4 linked regions of the Saccharomyces cerevisiae S288C genome follow. The protein of the gene in region 2 purifies or fractionates together with the protein of the main gene of each other region. This does not show direct contact. Each region holds a gene or a part of one and is shown on either strand. Other genes may lie near its edges.

Evidence for each region.
Region 1: the proteins of WTM1 (region 2) and CCT6 purify together in Saccharomyces cerevisiae (affinity purification with mass spectrometry, with the first as the bait; 2 studies listed by BioGRID). This does not show direct contact.
Region 3: the proteins of WTM1 (region 2) and RNR2 purify together in Saccharomyces cerevisiae (affinity purification with western blotting; 5 studies listed by BioGRID, with this or other methods). This does not show direct contact.
Region 4: the proteins of WTM1 (region 2) and CCT2 purify together in Saccharomyces cerevisiae (affinity purification with mass spectrometry, with the first as the bait; 2 studies listed by BioGRID). This does not show direct contact.

The regions. Positions count from the first base shown.
Region 1 is NC_001136.10:834,442-838,813, forward strand, and holds CCT6 (chaperonin-containing T-complex subunit CCT6), read left to right. Parts: upstream 1-1,979; coding exon 1,980-3,620; downstream 3,621-4,372. Other genes in the region: SND1 (Snd1p), read right to left, coding at 1-1,051; SLY1 (syntaxin-binding protein), read left to right, coding at 3,951-4,372. UniProt on the Saccharomyces cerevisiae protein: Molecular chaperone; assists the folding of proteins upon ATP hydrolysis. Known to play a role, in vitro, in the folding of actin and tubulin. In yeast may play a role in mitotic spindle formation.
Region 2 is NC_001147.6:768,566-772,709, reverse strand, and holds WTM1 (transcriptional modulator), read right to left. Parts: upstream 1,911-4,144; coding exon 597-1,910; downstream 1-596. Other genes in the region: mitogen-activated protein kinase kinase MKK1, read right to left, coding at 1-109; WTM2 (transcriptional modulator), read right to left, coding at 2,898-4,144. UniProt on the Saccharomyces cerevisiae protein: Transcriptional modulator with roles in meiotic regulation and silencing.
Region 3 is NC_001142.9:390,160-394,103, reverse strand, and holds RNR2 (ribonucleotide-diphosphate reductase subunit RNR2), read right to left. Parts: upstream 1,701-3,944; coding exon 501-1,700; downstream 1-500. Other genes in the region: RRN7 (Rrn7p), read right to left, coding at 1-137; YJL027C (uncharacterized protein), read left to right, coding at 1,855-2,271; YJL028W (uncharacterized protein), read right to left, coding at 2,458-2,793; VPS53 (Vps53p), read left to right, coding at 3,251-3,944. UniProt on the Saccharomyces cerevisiae protein: Provides the precursors necessary for DNA synthesis. Catalyzes the biosynthesis of deoxyribonucleotides from the corresponding ribonucleotides. RNR2 provides the diiron-tyrosyl radical center.
Region 4 is NC_001141.2:81,375-85,646, forward strand, and holds CCT2 (chaperonin-containing T-complex subunit CCT2), read left to right. Parts: upstream 1-1,927; coding exon 1,928-3,511; downstream 3,512-4,272. Other genes in the region: TFIIH/NER complex ATPase/helicase subunit SSL2, read right to left, coding at 1-1,667; AXL2 (Axl2p), read left to right, coding at 3,992-4,272. UniProt on the Saccharomyces cerevisiae protein: Molecular chaperone; assists the folding of proteins upon ATP hydrolysis. Known to play a role, in vitro, in the folding of actin and tubulin. In yeast may play a role in mitotic spindle formation.

The sequences.
Region 1 (4,372 bases), on a different chromosome or scaffold from region 2:
TGGATTCGTTCGTTTTGAACATATGTGCCCTGTTGGATTTTCTGTTGATAGACAACGACCTAATTCTGACGGACTTGTCTTTATTGGAGGTTAAAACCGAGTTTTGAAAATTCAACAACGACGAAGAGTTTCTTTTCAAACTTGTGTTGCTCTGGTCGTCGCCCTTATCTTCGTTAACAGCATCTGAATATTCATGTAGCGCTTTTATTGATTCCTGGGAGATAAGGCTGGTGAGAGGGTGGTCTGACAACAAAGTCAGCAGTGCTTTTACCCCCGTGCTATTCGTGACAATAACTATGGAATCCAAGACAGTCTGGTCTTGCATGCTACCATTGCTCTGGTTTGAGCCGGTGAATTTCTCGTTCAACTTGGTGTAGTACTCTTTGAACGGGAGTGACTTGGAGTTCTGGATTGTCTTAGTGAAAGAACCAATATTCTGCCAATTAATGATTTTTAAATTAAGCAGTTCTGCGTTCAGGAAAGTAGAAAACCACTTGAGAGAGGTGGGAGAAACGTTGATCTGGAAACATAGGTTTAGTTTCTTTTGAACATACAAGTCTTTGAAAGAATTAAACAATTTTTCAACCAAAAATCTTATGGTCTCCACGTAACGTAAAGACCCCGAAGACGACACCAGTACATTCAGATCAAACTTGTTTTCCGGTGTGCTGCGAGAGCTGATCAGACTTTTCAACTCCTCCCAAAACTTATCGTTATCTTCCGCAGTAGATGTGTTGGAAAAACTTTGCGCGATCGAATTTCTAAGCCGATGCAGCTTAAACCGTTTATTCAGTCTGGAAAGCTTGTTATGAGTCATCTCATCGTTGTAGTAGTCGATCGTAGGGATATCTATGTAAAGTAGGATGTTAAGCTTCTTTAGCGAAGGGTACCGGTCCGCCAAAGACGCTTGTACCACTGTCTGCTGCATGTTGGAGTAAGTGATCAGAAACAGCGAGTCCTGTGACTTCACACTAACTTTTGGTGAAGTGGACTGGGCAAAGCGACGCTCATTAATGCTCGCGGCTGCTGCGTCCGTACCGACAGTGTCCATCGTAGTGTAGGCTTCCCAAAATTTAGGATGTGATTAGTAATAGTGGTTGATTGCGAGCTCCGGGATGCGAGGGAGAGCGTGTATGTGTACTTCAAGTTCGCCAACTTCTCTCTTAAATAGAAAAAGAAAAGAAGAAAAAGGAAACGAAAAAAAAAAAAAGTAGGGAAAAGCTGAGTGATGAAGATCCGGGCTGCCAAGATTGGGTTTGAAACGTGTAGTCAGCTACAAACCAAAAATTAAAAGAACAATAGCAAAGAACCTTAGTAGGAAAACAATAAAATAATAGACACGACACCCGTAGAAAGATAGAACGGGACGAGGGGCCGGTTCAACAACTATCATACTTTCTTGTTCAACAACGCGATTAACCCAAATAATAAAAAAGCTACGAGACAAGAACAGACGAGGCAATACGAGCAACGAGCGCAACGAGAACGGTAAGCATGGCAACGGCGCGCACACCCACGCCCCGCAACCGCACACCTCAGCTCAAAGTAACCCACTTTAACGTGACTGGACCTGAGCTGTCTGACTCGGTCGTTTGCAAATAGGTTAACGCCGTCGCTTCTCCCTTTCGTGTACCGTATATCTTTCTTTAATTGCATTCCCTTGTTGTGATTATCGTTTCCCATTGCAGTGAGCTTTCATTTTGGGGACCCTGGGAGTAGGCTGTTTTTCGATAGAGTGAGAGGTGTGGGTTCTGCGGCAGAATGGATACGGGCCGTGGATCACTGTTTACGGGAGTTTTGCTTTGGTGGCAAAATTTTCGCTCGGTGATGTGTTAGTAGTTGTTATTCTGGTAAGAAACGAACGAAAGACGGAAAGGATTATGTATAACAGTGTATGTGTGCAGTGTGTGGAAAAGGTAAAGGTTAAGGGTGTGGAAGCAGTGAGAAGCAGAAGATTATAATATAAGTAGAGTAGAAGCATGTCATTGCAATTGTTGAATCCGAAGGCTGAATCGTTGAGAAGGGATGCGGCTTTGAAGGTTAACGTCACATCTGCTGAGGGCTTACAATCCGTCCTAGAGACCAACTTGGGCCCTAAGGGCACGCTAAAGATGCTTGTGGATGGTGCTGGTAACATCAAGCTGACCAAGGACGGTAAAGTGTTGCTGACCGAGATGCAGATCCAGTCGCCTACAGCGGTACTGATTGCTAGGGCAGCTGCCGCGCAGGATGAAATCACGGGCGATGGGACCACGACGGTTGTGTGTCTTGTGGGTGAATTGCTTAGACAAGCGCACCGTTTCATTCAAGAGGGCGTGCATCCGCGGATCATCACTGATGGGTTTGAGATTGCGCGGAAGGAGTCCATGAAATTTTTGGACGAATTCAAGATCAGTAAGACGAACCTTTCCAATGATAGAGAGTTCCTTCTGCAAGTGGCCCGGTCGTCGCTGCTAACCAAGGTGGACGCTGACTTGACGGAGGTCTTGACGCCCATTGTAACGGATGCGGTGCTAAGCGTGTACGACGCGCAGGCTGACAATTTGGATTTACACATGGTTGAGATCATGCAGATGCAGCACTTGTCTCCTAAAGATACCACTTTTATTAAGGGTTTGGTATTGGACCACGGTGGTAGGCATCCTGACATGCCCACCCGTGTGAAGAACGCGTATGTTTTGATTTTGAACGTATCTTTGGAATACGAGAAGACTGAAGTTAACTCTGGGTTCTTTTACAGTTCTGCGGACCAAAGGGACAAGTTGGCCGCTAGTGAGAGGAAGTTTGTGGATGCCAAGTTGAAGAAGATCATCGACTTGAAAAACGAAGTTTGTGGCATGGATCCAGACAAGGGTTTTGTTATCATTAACCAAAAAGGCATTGACCCCATGTCTTTAGACGTGTTTGCCAAACACAACATCTTGGCTTTGAGAAGGGCCAAGAGACGTAACATGGAAAGATTGCAATTGGTCACTGGCGGTGAAGCTCAGAACTCTGTGGAAGACTTGTCGCCTCAGATTCTTGGGTTTTCTGGCTTGGTCTACCAAGAAACCATAGGCGAGGAAAAATTCACATACGTTACAGAGAACACTGACCCCAAGTCTTGCACCATCTTAATCAAGGGCTCCACTCATTATGCCCTCGCTCAAACAAAGGATGCGGTGAGAGATGGTCTCAGAGCTGTGGCAAACGTTCTCAAGGACAAAAACATCATTCCAGGCGCTGGTGCGTTCTACATCGCCCTTTCGAGATACCTAAGATCTGCCAACATGAACAAGTTGGGTGCCAAGGGTAAAACAAAGACAGGTATTGAGGCGTTCGCAGAAGCATTGCTGGTAATTCCAAAGACTTTGGTGAAGAACTCAGGATTCGACCCATTGGACGTGCTCGCAATGGTGGAGGACGAGTTGGATGACGCTCAGGATTCTGACGAAACGAGATATGTTGGTGTGGACTTGAACATAGGTGATTCTTGCGACCCTACCATCGAGGGTATTTGGGATTCCTACCGCGTACTAAGAAATGCTATTACCGGTGCTACAGGTATTGCCAGCAACTTGTTATTATGCGATGAATTGTTAAGGGCAGGTAGATCCACTTTGAAAGAAACACCACAGTAATAAAAAATAATAATAATAATAATAATAACAAGAACACGAATACTAGTAGTAATAGTAGTCAGATACAAAAATTCTATGTAACATATTTTTTCCAGTCACTATCATCATCATCATATTTTGTATATATACATTTATTATATAAAATATCATACCAATTTTTGCCAAAGAACACCGTTTCCCTCTTCGCGTTGACCACAGTAATTGCAGAAACGACAAAAAAAAAACAAAAAAAAGAAGCACCATTCTAACTCAGCCTTTAATAACCTGACATGATAACTTATAATAGTCATTGCCAGTTGCTAAGTATCTTTGACCAAAAATCACAACATCATGGCTGTGGAGGAAATTGCGTCCCGCAAGGACATTAGTTTAAGAGATATGCAAATCTCTGCCATATTAAAAATGCTGTTTTTAAATAAGGATTTGAACAACAACGACAACATCACCACCATCACAGACGATATTTTTAACCAGCAGGAGATCATCTGGAAGGTGTTGATACTGGACATCAAGAGCACTGCTACCATATCTTCTGTTCTCAGAGTCAATGACCTGCTGAAAGCTGGTATCACCGTTCATTCCTTGATTAAACAAGACAGATCTCCCTTGCCAGATGTCCCTGCCATATATTTCGTCTCCCCCACAAAGGAAAACATTGACATTATAGTCAATGACTTGAAAAGCGACAAGTATTCTGAATTTTACATCAACTTTACCTCATCTCTGCCCAGAAACCTCCTGGAAGATTTGGC
Region 2 (4,144 bases):
AGTATATATTATTTTCATCTACCTGATTATTTCGTAAGAGGGGCAGTTTAAGTCTAGGAGAGTTTGGGTTGCATTTCGCAGATTCTGGGGGTCTGAACAGTGAAGCCATACTGGGCAAATTGTGCAATGGAAGGATAGAGTTAATTTGGTCTATGTACACTGCGAGAAATACGCAACCATAAATGAAACGCAAGTTATGAAAAACCGGATCCAACCCTACCAGAGACCAACTTTCTTTTTAAATTGTGCCAAATTTTTGCTGCCCTTTAAAATAGAACTTCCTTATTCTGAGCCGTCACACGCCTTAATGATAATCAGTCGATCCGATTTTTCAATTGTCGCAATGACCTGAGAAATATAATTGCTCGTGTATAGTGACTTATTCGCCAGCAGGTGTACGGTATCTTTCATCAGTAGTAAGTATTGTTTAATTAAATATTGAATAATAAATATACTAACAGTAGCTCATACATAACTTTAGGCGCGCACTTTCATCACACAGGGTAAAGAAACCAGCCCTGGGTGAGAAAAACTAATAATAGTTAAAAGCATTAAATATATAAATATGGCCTTGTTCCGCGCGTTTAGCATGGCGACTATTCGCTTTCCTCGGTATAGGGCTTGTAGATGCTGACTAAACTATCGTCATCGACAGTACCAACCAAGTTTTCAATAACTGGATGCCAAGCGGCGGTGTTTCTTCTTCCAATCTGTTTTGGAGATCTTCTGCTTCCACCCTTGTGCAAGAATCTCAGAGATTTTGTTTGTGATTCTTCAGTGGCATCTTGAGGAGGAGCAATGGTATCGTCAGGATTGTACTTTGACAAGGAATAGTCAGTGTTCCAGTGGTAAATATTACCAGTGCCGCCCACAGTAAAGAATTCAGAGCTTGAAGTGGCAGAAAATTGGACGTCGACAACAGAATCACCGCCGGCATGATAGAAGTTAGCGATTTCATTCTGAATTGGATCTTCACCGTTTTGTCTATAAGTCAAATCAGTGGTGGCAGCTTCAGCCGCTCTGGCATCCCATAACTTGATAATACCCGTACTGAAACCGGTAACAAACAAGTTGTTGGAAACCTGAGAGCAATCAAACGAGGTCAATTTTCCGTTCTTTGGTTCTCCCAACACCCATATAGGCTTGTCGGAAGTTCTAGTGTCCCAGAACCTCAGAATATTGTCATCTGAACAAGACGCAAAGATATGATTGTCGAAAAATCTTACGGTGTGAGTCACAGTGGTACCAGGCACATGAACAGTACGTAGAATCTCACCAGGCTTACCGGCATTGTCAATGATTTTCAAAATACTGTCTTCTTCATCACCATTACTCTGAGACTTCACAATGGTTTCGGTATCATTGGAAATGCCGAAGTCAGAGATGGCTAATGAGAAATCCTTTTCAGGTAGATCACCAGGTCTGGTTAAAGAATGGATGCTGGCATAGCTGGTTGCTGGACCCATCAATTCCTGTACAATGTGAATAGGGACCTTTATACCCTCTTTGAACCAAGCCAACGACCCGTTCTTAGACATCGACAATAATGTAGTTTCTCCAGTCTTATCTAAGTAGGCCATTTTGGAGACAGTTTCACCCTGGTACACGAATTTTGGGCTCAACGAGGTGTTTTCAATACCTTCAAAGGCGTCACCATAGTCTTTCACCGGTTCTGAAGCGGCTTCTTGTAGTGGTACAGCGAAGTCAATTTCGTAGATATCACTACCTTGAGAGTATATAACACTTGAGGTTAGAGTGTTATTTTTTTTATCTGGAACAACAACGTTGCTGAACGTCAAGGACTTCCTTTGGTGCAGAACATTGTCCACACGAGACACAAATTTTGGTCTTAAGCTGGAGATATGTTCATAAGTGGAAGGCGTAGATGATTTCCAAACCTTTTTTGGCATTTTTGGTTGTAATGTATAGTGTGTTACAATTTATTTGTATCTTTCAAGATTGGTTGATTAATAATTAATTTTCTTATCTAATATCTACAATTCAGGCGAATATAAACTTTTCGGATCTTCTTTTTTCCCTCCCTTTATACTGGAAGCTACAGAACTGAAAAAAAAAAAAAAAAAACATAGAACATTAAGGGGACAGACTGCATGGAAAAGGAAAAGGTAAAAAAAAGCCCCGAAATGGTACTCTTAAATATGAGATGATAAACGAGGATTCGAAGGAAAATAGCCCAACTATCTACGAGTTGAAATTAAAAGGGAGTAGTGAGCGCCACTATGTGTGCTCACTGTGTATAGCTAAGCAATTACATAAGGGATAGTACATAAACCACCGTATGTTAGGAAAGAGGAAAAAAAGGAAAGACAAAGGTCTTTTGCCTATTGTATGACTTAGCCTTTCTTTGTTATACCCCGGCGCGTTCCAAAAAGGGAAGCCAGCACAGCACCGCATATTGAATACCGCCTTCTCACGTGGTACAGGCACAACTATCTTGCATGTGCCTCTGGGTCTTTCTTAGCGACAGCCTTTTAAGATTCTGAATTGTAAACATCGAGCTTCATCCGAGAAACGAAAGAGGGAATCTTGAAATGGACTATGTCACCATTAGATCCTCCCTCTTCTCCATATAGCCGGTTTTTGTCTTATTTCTTTGCTGGAAAGAAAAAAAAGAAATTGCTTGGTTAATTACTGGTAACCCTCTTTTCTTGAGGCCTTACTTCGTTGGCTTCAGAAATCTGAAAGAGTCTTTATTAGGAGCGATACCAGTATCTATACAACATTATACCATCACTATATATTACAAAAAAAAAAATAACCCCGATAGCGTGCTAGAAATGAATAAAAAAAAAAAAAACAGAATTATGTACGTGAATGCTTGTGAGTTACTGCCTTTCCCATAGGTGGTAACGTTAATTTCTTACTCTTTTTTTTTTTTAATCGTCGTAACCTCTGCCAATGAAGTCACTGGCCAGAAATGGTTTGTAGGCAGTAACAAGACTATCTGAATCAACAGTGCCAACAAAATCATTGATTACGGGGTGTAGCGCCACAGTGTTCCTCTTCCCGAATTGGTTGCTCGATCTTCTTGTGCCACCTGTGTGGAAAAATTTTAAACATTGACCCTGAAGTTCCTCCGGAGCAGCCACTCGAACTTCGTCTTCGTTGTCATCGTCGTTTCTTGAAAAAGAGTACTCCATGTCCCAGTGGTAGACATTACCCGTTCCTCCAACCGTAACAAATTCTGTTGCAGAGGTTTGTGAGAACAGGATATCGACAACGGAATCGCCGCCAGAATGGAACAACTTGGCTATTTCGTTTTGGATCGGTTCCTCGCCGTTCTGCCTATGTGTGAGGTCAGTAGTAGCCAGTTGCACAGCACGCGCATCCCATAGCTTGATGACACCCGTGCTGAACCCAGTGACAAATAGGTTTTCAGTAACTTGAGAGGAATCGAAGGACGTTAGTCGTCCATTTTTCGGTTCGCTTAGCGTCCAAAGCGGTTTGTCCGCTGTTCTTGTGTCCCAGAATCTTAAAATGTTGTCATCTGAACAAGATGCAAATAAATGGTTGTTAAAAAATCTAACTGAGTGAGCCACGTTGGTCCCTGGAACGTGCACTGTACGTAATATATCTCCCGGTCTATCGGAGTTGTCGATGATTTTCAAGATGCTGTCCTCCTCGTAGCCGTTACTTTGTGACTTTACTACCGTATCCATATTTGTCGACACATCAAAATCTGACACTGCTAATGAACCTGGTCTGGTTAGAGAGTGAATACTAGAGTATCTAGTAGCAGGGCCCATCATTTCCTGTACGATATGAACGGGAACCTTGATCTCATCTCTGAACCATGCCAAAGAGCCGTTCTTGGACATCGCGATCGCCGTACTGTCGTCTGAGCTTTCCAAGTATTGCATTTTTGCCACTGTTTCGCCCTGGTAAATCCACTTTGGGCGCAATGGTTTCCCCTCAACATCTTGGAAAGCATCACCATACTCTGGATTTGGGGTGGCTGCAGACTTCGTCTTGCCGTTACCTTCTTCGTCGTCGTCGTCGTTGTCGTCGTCGTCGTCGTCGTCATAGAATGTCTTTAATGGTAAAGTAGTGTCTATTTCGTAAATATCACTACCTTGAGAATATAAAAGACTAGTCGTCAAGGTGCCCTTGGATTTGTCTGGAA
Region 3 (3,944 bases), on a different chromosome or scaffold from region 2:
TCTTCATCGTCGTTAAATTCCACGTCACCTTCCATAACGTGACCATATTGGCAGGTTCTTCTCCCATCAATGATACGCCAAAGCCGTGAGGGGCAGTTGTCTGTACCGCAGATGGGACCTCTTATGAAAGTAGACATCCTTAAGTGATGTAGGGGTATGTCCGAGTAGTTCGTTCAACTATTTTTAAAGACACATCGTTCCAGGTTTATATTCATATACATATGTATGTATTGTATAGGTTTTTTTATTTTTTATTTTTTATTTTTTTTTTTTTTTTTTTCAATTTTTTTAAGCTTTTCTTACTTTTCCGATGCCCTTTCCACTTTAATCAATATACGTATGAAATTCAGCCGAAGTTTCCGTTTGATAATATATTAGATTCAATATAAAAAAAAGTTTATATGATTCAGTGTATATATATATATATAAATAAGAGGTGCGAAAGCCCACATAAAGAGATTGAAGAGACTGCGTAAAAAGAAATATATAGAGAGATACTCTTAAAAGTCTTCGTTGAAGGTGAAAGCACCGGCTTCTTGCTTAGTCGACTTGGACATAACACCAGCCTTTTGGTAGTCAGAAACTCTCTTTTCGAAGAAGTTGGTCTTACCGGCCAAGGAGATGTTTTCCATGAAATCGAAGGGGTTTTCGACCTTGTAGTATTTCTTGTTACCGAAAGCAACCAACAGTCTGTCGGCGACGAACTCAACGTATTGGTTCATTAAGTCAGCGTTCATACCTAGCAAAGCAACTGGTAAGGCGTCCAAGAAGTATCTTTGTTCAATTTCCACAGCCTCGGTGACAATTTTTTCAACAATGGCTGGGTCTGGTTTGTTCTTCAAATGGGCGAACAACAAGCATGCAAAGTCGGTGTGCAAACCTTCGTCTCTACAGATCAATTCGTTGGAAAAGGTTAAACCGGGCATCATACCTCTCTTTTTCAACCAGAAAATGGAGGCAAAGGAACCGGAGAAAAAGACACCTTCAATGGAGGCAAAGGCAACTAGTCTTTCACCAAACAAGGCGTCAGCGTCTTGAATCCATCTTAAAGCCCATTCGGCCTTCTCACCGATTTCTGGGATGGTGTGAATGGCATTGAACAAGAATTCACTTTCTTTAGGGTCCTTGATGTAAGTATCGATCAACAAGGAGTAAGTTTCAGAGTGAATATTTTCAATCATGATTTGGAAACCGTAGAAACTCTTTGCCTCTGGAATTTGGACTTCGGTGGAGAAGTTTTCAACCAAGTTTTCATTAACAATACCGTCAGAAGCGGCGAAAAAGGCAAGAACTCTGGAAATGAAAAATCTCTCGTTTTCGTTCATTCTGTTGTTCCAGTCATGGATATCCTTAGACAAATCAATTTCTTCAGCGGTCCAGAAAGAAGCTTCGGCACGCTTGTAGGCTTGCCAGATTTCATGGTACTTGATAGGGAAAAGAACAGTTCTCTCCTTGTCTTCATTCAACAAAGGTTCCTCCTTTTCCATTTCCTTAAGTTTGTGACGGTGAACTTGATGAGATTTCAAGTAAGCCTTGTGATTTTCAGCGTCCTTGCTCAATTTCTCCTTAAGCATGTCTGACTTTACTCTGTTTTCCTCTCTCAATGTCTCCAATTCCTTGTTAAGGTTGGACTTGGAATCTTTGATTTCCAAGTCGGACAATGCATCGGCAGCAGCTTTGGAAGGGGTCTCTTTAGGCATGGTAATTGGACAAATAAATACGTGTATTAAGTTTGGATTCTTTGGTAGATAGCCAATCGAGGGAACAATTAAAAAAAAGAAAGAAATAAAAGACAAGAAGAAGAGCGAAAAAGGGGAAAGTGATGAGGAAAAGAACAATAGATAGATCCAGAAGATGATGGTAACGCGCAAACACTACCGCTATATATACCTACAAAACTCTCATTCTCTCATTTCCTGCTTCGTTCATTTCGAGTTTCCAAGGGTATGGTACGGTGCTATCTGCCCGTGCTTCCCCTCCTTTGCTTTGCTAAGAAAAATTTTCTTTTGTCAGCAGCAACAACACGCTACGCTCTGCGCTGTGCTACGAAGTGGTCTCTGTGGCAACGGGGACATTGTACCCATGCCCGCTCGCAGGGAGGTCTGGGTGTGGGGCGTGTGCGACCTCGTTGCCATGGCGATCGCGCGTGGGTGTGGTCTTTCCCCAAACGGTTGCCCGTTGCTCCGGATTTCGCATAGTTGTCGCGTAAACAAAAAACACGAGAGAGGGCGGACGGCGCTGAATAGTGGAAGATCGCGCGATGTCAAGTAAATAAGCTTGTATTTGTATTTGTATGTGTTTATGTGTTTGTGTGGTTGAGAATTTTATTTTCCTCCTAGTTTTTTCTTTTTTGAGTGCGGAGGGGCAGTGCTCTAAACTTTGCCTGCTTCTTGTTCGACTTCGGCTTCCTATGCAGAACGCAAAATCGCGTGCGCGAGGAACGAGGAAGACAACGCTTTAGATTGGCTTTTTCGTCGCCCATGCCCGTTGCGATAGCGATATGATGAGAAATCGATAAAAGGTTGCACCAGTACACCGCACTTTCTGGCGTGCTTGGATCTGGCTTGCGCGGCCTCGTGCCAGTAAGTAGAAAAGTAGTAATATGGCATGGCGAAAGAGAACAAAACAAGCAAAGCAAGCGTAATGCACAGCTGTGGCTAAAAAAAGAGCACAGAGGTGAAGGGAAAAAAAGATAAAGAAATTAAGGAGGTTGAGAGGGCTTGTGTGTCGATGCTTGGTGAGGCGGGACGTAACGGTTTTTTGTCTGTAGGCACTTCTACCCCACAGGGCCATGAATCTGGCCCGAAACCGTTGCGAGCGTGCCAATTGGTGGTGATATCTTTTTTCTTCCCTTTTTTTTTGTTTTCCGTTCTGTTATGTTCCTTCATCTTGAATTCACTAAAGGGAACAGAAGAAAAAGTTGGATATTAGATAAGCGGTACTTTTCTACAGGTCTAGTATTATTCCTCGGTTGGAACAAGAAATAGTGCTTCAGTAGCTCAGTAGGAAGAGCGTCAGTCTCATAATCTGAAGGTCGAGAGTTCGAACCTCCCCTGGAGCATATTTTTATACGTATATCTTTTTTCCCTCTATTTTGTTTTTTTTTTCTTTGTTTTTTCGTAGCTAGTAAAGAAGAGAAGGAGACCTAAAGTGTATATATACTTAATCTGCGATCATTGAAAAGTCGCTAGCTTATTGTCACTTACTGCATTTTCACAACATCTTCCATTTTTGTTTTCTCAGAAGGACAATGCTGGAAGGTACGGTAGATTATGACCCGCTGGAAGATATTACCAATATACTTTTTTCAAAAGAATCCCTGAACAACATAGATGAACTGATCAGTATTACCAGAAGCTACAAAAAGCAATTGCAAGAGGATATTCTCAAAGAAGAGAATGAATTGAAGGAACACCCTAAAAATTCCGCTGAAATAGAGGCTTCTCTGAGGAAAGTTTTCCAAGATTTCAAAGAAACTCAAGATGTCTCAGCCTCCACCGAGTTGACGATATCGAATCTGACAGAAGGTATCTCGTACCTGGACATTGCCAAGAAAAACCTCACCCACTCTTTGACTCTTTTCCAAAATTTAAAGATATTGACAGACAGTTACATACAATGCAATGAATTACTCTCACAGGGCTCATTCAAAAAAATGGTGTCCCCTTATAAGATAATGTGTTCGCTTGCTGAAAACACATTCATCTCTTACAAATCATTGGACGAGATAAACTATTTGTTGAGCTCCATTTCAAGACTGAAAGGAGACACTTTGTCCAAAATTAAACAAAACTACAATGCGCTCTTTTCCGGCGGCAATATCTCAGAGCATGATACAGCACTCACTATGGAATTGCGCGAAGGTGCCTGCGAGCTACTCGACTGCGATACAAGTACGAGAGCCCAGATGATAGATTGGTGTTTGGACAAACTTCTCTTCGAAA
Region 4 (4,272 bases), on a different chromosome or scaffold from region 2:
TCTGCACATTGGACATTTGCAATATGTCCTTTTTGGGATAATTCCATCCAATTTGCTTCATAAAGTTTTGGACCAATTAAAAAATTCAGATCACCAATTTTATCATCTTCTCTAACCAGCGTTGCGGTCAGTCCCAATTTGGCGTGTGCTGCGATGGTGGAGACCACCCTACGGAACATTGCGGCGGGCACCACATGAACTTCGTCAAGAATAATGAACCCCCATTCCCTACCGGTCAAGAAATCCATAACTTTTTGTGAATCATGAGACCTGTTTCTTGTGTTTGCCACCATTGAATAAGTGGAAACAACCAAACCGGATTCTGTCTGGAACATTTCCTTATTATCAGAGGTGAAAACAGCACAATTTTCAGGTTGTAAGGTACACCATTGTAAAAATTGCTGCCTCCATTGCATGACGGAGACTGATGAAGTACATAAAACAATTACGGATTTTTTTATAGTACATGCTGCGGTAATACCGACCAAAGTTTTACCTGCGCCACATGGCAAAACAATAATCCCTGAACGAGCACGCCCATTACCAAACATTTTACTCAGCGATTTTTCTTGATAGGGTCTGATTTGAGTGGAAGGTTTCAAATCAATATCTAAATCCGGGTTTCTATGGTCGTTTCTAAAGTCGTATTCTTCCAACACGGGATAATCGATTTCTTGACATCTTTTCTTTACGACTTCAACAGACTCATTGGCAATTTCAAAGGAGTGAACGGCATCAATATCATCATCTTCTTCTTCCCGCTCATTATCACCACCTATAACTGCACTAAACACGGCTTCCACATCGTTCGGATTAACATTAGTAGCGGGTTTTCCAGCGGTTTGCTGAAGTTGTTGCTGTAGTACATCCTCTGGTGGCTGTACTTGATGATCGCTATCTATTCTTAGGGGCCCGATGACGGAATCATTCAGCAACATTTGCAGAATATCTGCTTGTGTAGTCTCCACGAAATATCTATTATGCTTAATAACTAGTTTCACTTTACCGTATGAAATGGTAGCCCCTTTAATGAAGTTGATTATCGATTCAGCAACGGGTACTTTGGATAATCTATCCAGAACTGAAATGATATCATCCGTCTCCAACCCTACAGAAACAGCTGCATACAAAGAGTATGCTGTGATCTTGTATTCATGAATATGGGAGGGTCTACTTATAGGCTCTGCAATGGTGACCAGAAAGTCCTGAGCCTGTTCTGCTAATGGAGAGAAACTCTCCAGAATGATCCTACCGTCACTTGGCGAGATCCAAAGGGGCCTGGAAGCATGGTCTGGTCTTAACCGCAAATAACTAAAGTCATGGCTTCTGAACATTCCAGAGACGGAATCTGGAACGAAATCTGCTGGTATATCGCTATTAGTGTCCTGCAAAAGCGCTTTATCCTTAGCGTCCATTTGATTCATAGAGGAATCCGCCGCTGTATGCCTGCTACTCTTGGTCTTTTTCCGAGGCTTCTTCAACCCTGTTACCATGGCGCCGGTATCCCTTTCTCCACGTCCTTCTGACGTTTCCCTGTTATCATCATAGTTCTCATCGATCTCTGCATCAGTAGCTGGTGAATCCTCATCTGATGAGAAAAAGGACTCACCCATATCTGGAAAGATTTTCCCCTTGCTCTTAGGTTGGTAGCCTTCAACGTCCGTCATGATTTATCTTCCACTGATTCCAACGTCAGTAGATGCTACTTTTACTAAATAATGTAGATATCATTACTATTATCTATCCTTACTAAGGACCTTTTTCCTTATACTTCTTAGAAGAAAAACCTCGTTTCTAACGATCTGAAATTTTTTTCTCTTCGCGGTGGCGAGTTTAAAAGACAAGAGCAGAGCAATAAAAAAGAGGATGAAAGGTGGCCATTAAATAGGCAAGAAGAGTCAGTCGTACAAAGCTCAAAAGATTCAGGATGAGTGTACAGATATTTGGAGACCAGGTTACAGAAGAAAGAGCGGAAAACGCCCGTTTGTCGGCGTTTGTCGGTGCCATTGCCGTGGGTGATTTGGTGAAAAGCACATTAGGCCCAAAAGGGATGGATAAATTATTGCAAAGTGCGTCCAGTAACACTTGCATGGTAACAAACGATGGTGCTACGATTCTGAAGTCAATTCCGCTGGATAATCCCGCAGCCAAAGTGTTGGTGAACATCAGTAAGGTGCAGGATGACGAAGTTGGAGATGGTACCACTAGTGTTACTGTTTTGAGCGCAGAGTTGCTTAGAGAAGCAGAGAAGTTGATTGATCAATCCAAAATCCACCCTCAAACTATTATTGAAGGTTACCGACTAGCTTCAGCAGCCGCATTGGATGCGTTAACGAAAGCGGCTGTTGACAACTCTCATGATAAGACCATGTTCCGTGAAGATCTGATCCATATTGCCAAGACTACTTTATCTTCCAAAATTTTGTCTCAGGATAAGGATCACTTCGCAGAATTAGCAACTAATGCTATTTTGAGATTGAAGGGCTCCACTAACTTAGAACATATTCAGATCATTAAGATTCTTGGTGGAAAGCTATCAGATTCGTTCCTTGACGAAGGTTTCATTCTTGCCAAAAAATTTGGTAACAACCAACCCAAGAGAATTGAAAATGCTAAGATTCTAATCGCCAATACAACTTTGGATACAGACAAGGTCAAAATATTCGGCACCAAATTCAAAGTCGATTCTACTGCTAAATTGGCACAACTAGAAAAGGCAGAACGTGAAAAGATGAAGAATAAAATTGCCAAGATTTCCAAGTTTGGTATCAACACTTTCATCAATAGACAACTAATTTATGACTATCCAGAGCAATTATTTACAGATTTGGGCATAAACTCAATTGAGCATGCTGATTTTGAAGGTGTAGAAAGGCTCGCCCTGGTTACAGGCGGTGAGGTGGTGTCTACATTTGACGAGCCAAGTAAATGCAAACTGGGAGAATGTGACGTGATCGAGGAAATTATGCTTGGTGAACAGCCATTCTTGAAGTTTAGTGGTTGCAAAGCTGGTGAAGCTTGTACCATCGTCCTAAGAGGTGCTACCGACCAAACGCTTGATGAAGCTGAGAGATCCCTGCATGACGCATTGTCCGTGTTGTCACAGACCACAAAGGAAACAAGAACTGTTCTTGGCGGCGGTTGCGCCGAGATGGTCATGTCAAAAGCTGTGGACACCGAAGCTCAAAACATCGACGGAAAGAAGTCCCTTGCCGTGGAGGCTTTTGCCCGTGCTCTGAGACAACTGCCAACCATTTTGGCAGATAATGCTGGTTTTGACAGCAGCGAACTTGTGTCCAAACTAAGATCCTCCATATACAACGGTATCTCCACCTCAGGTTTAGATCTCAACAACGGAACCATTGCCGACATGAGACAGTTAGGTATCGTCGAGAGTTACAAGCTAAAACGAGCAGTAGTCAGCTCTGCATCTGAAGCCGCTGAAGTTCTACTAAGGGTGGATAACATCATCCGTGCAAGACCAAGAACCGCCAATAGACAACATATGTAACATATTTAGGATATACCTCGAAAATAATAAACCGCCACACTGTCATTATTATAATTAGAAACAGAACGCAAAAATTATCCACTATATAATTCAAAGACGCGAAAAAAAAAGAACAACGCGTCATAGAACTTTTGGCAATTCGCGTCACAAATAAATTTTGGCAACTTATGTTTCCTCTTCGAGCAGTACTCGAGCCCTGTCTCAAGAATGTAATAATACCCATCGTAGGTATGGTTAAAGATAGCATCTCCACAACCTCAAAGCTCCTTGCCGAGAGTCGCCCTCCTTTGTCGAGTAATTTTCACTTTTCATATGAGAACTTATTTTCTTATTCTTTACTCTCACATCCTGTAGTGATTGACACTGCAACAGCCACCATCACTAGAAGAACAGAACAATTACTTAATAGAAAAATTATATCTTCCTCGAAACGATTTCCTGCTTCCAACATCTACGTATATCAAGAAGCATTCACTTACCATGACACAGCTTCAGATTTCATTATTGCTGACAGCTACTATATCACTACTCCATCTAGTAGTGGCCACGCCCTATGAGGCATATCCTATCGGAAAACAATACCCCCCAGTGGCAAGAGTCAATGAATCGTTTACATTTCAAATTTCCAATGATACCTATAAATCGTCTGTAGACAAGACAGCTCAAATAACATACAATTGCTTCGACTTACCGAGCTGGCTTTCGTTTGACTCTAGTTCTAGAACGTTCTCAGGTGAACCTTCTTCTGACTTACTATCTGA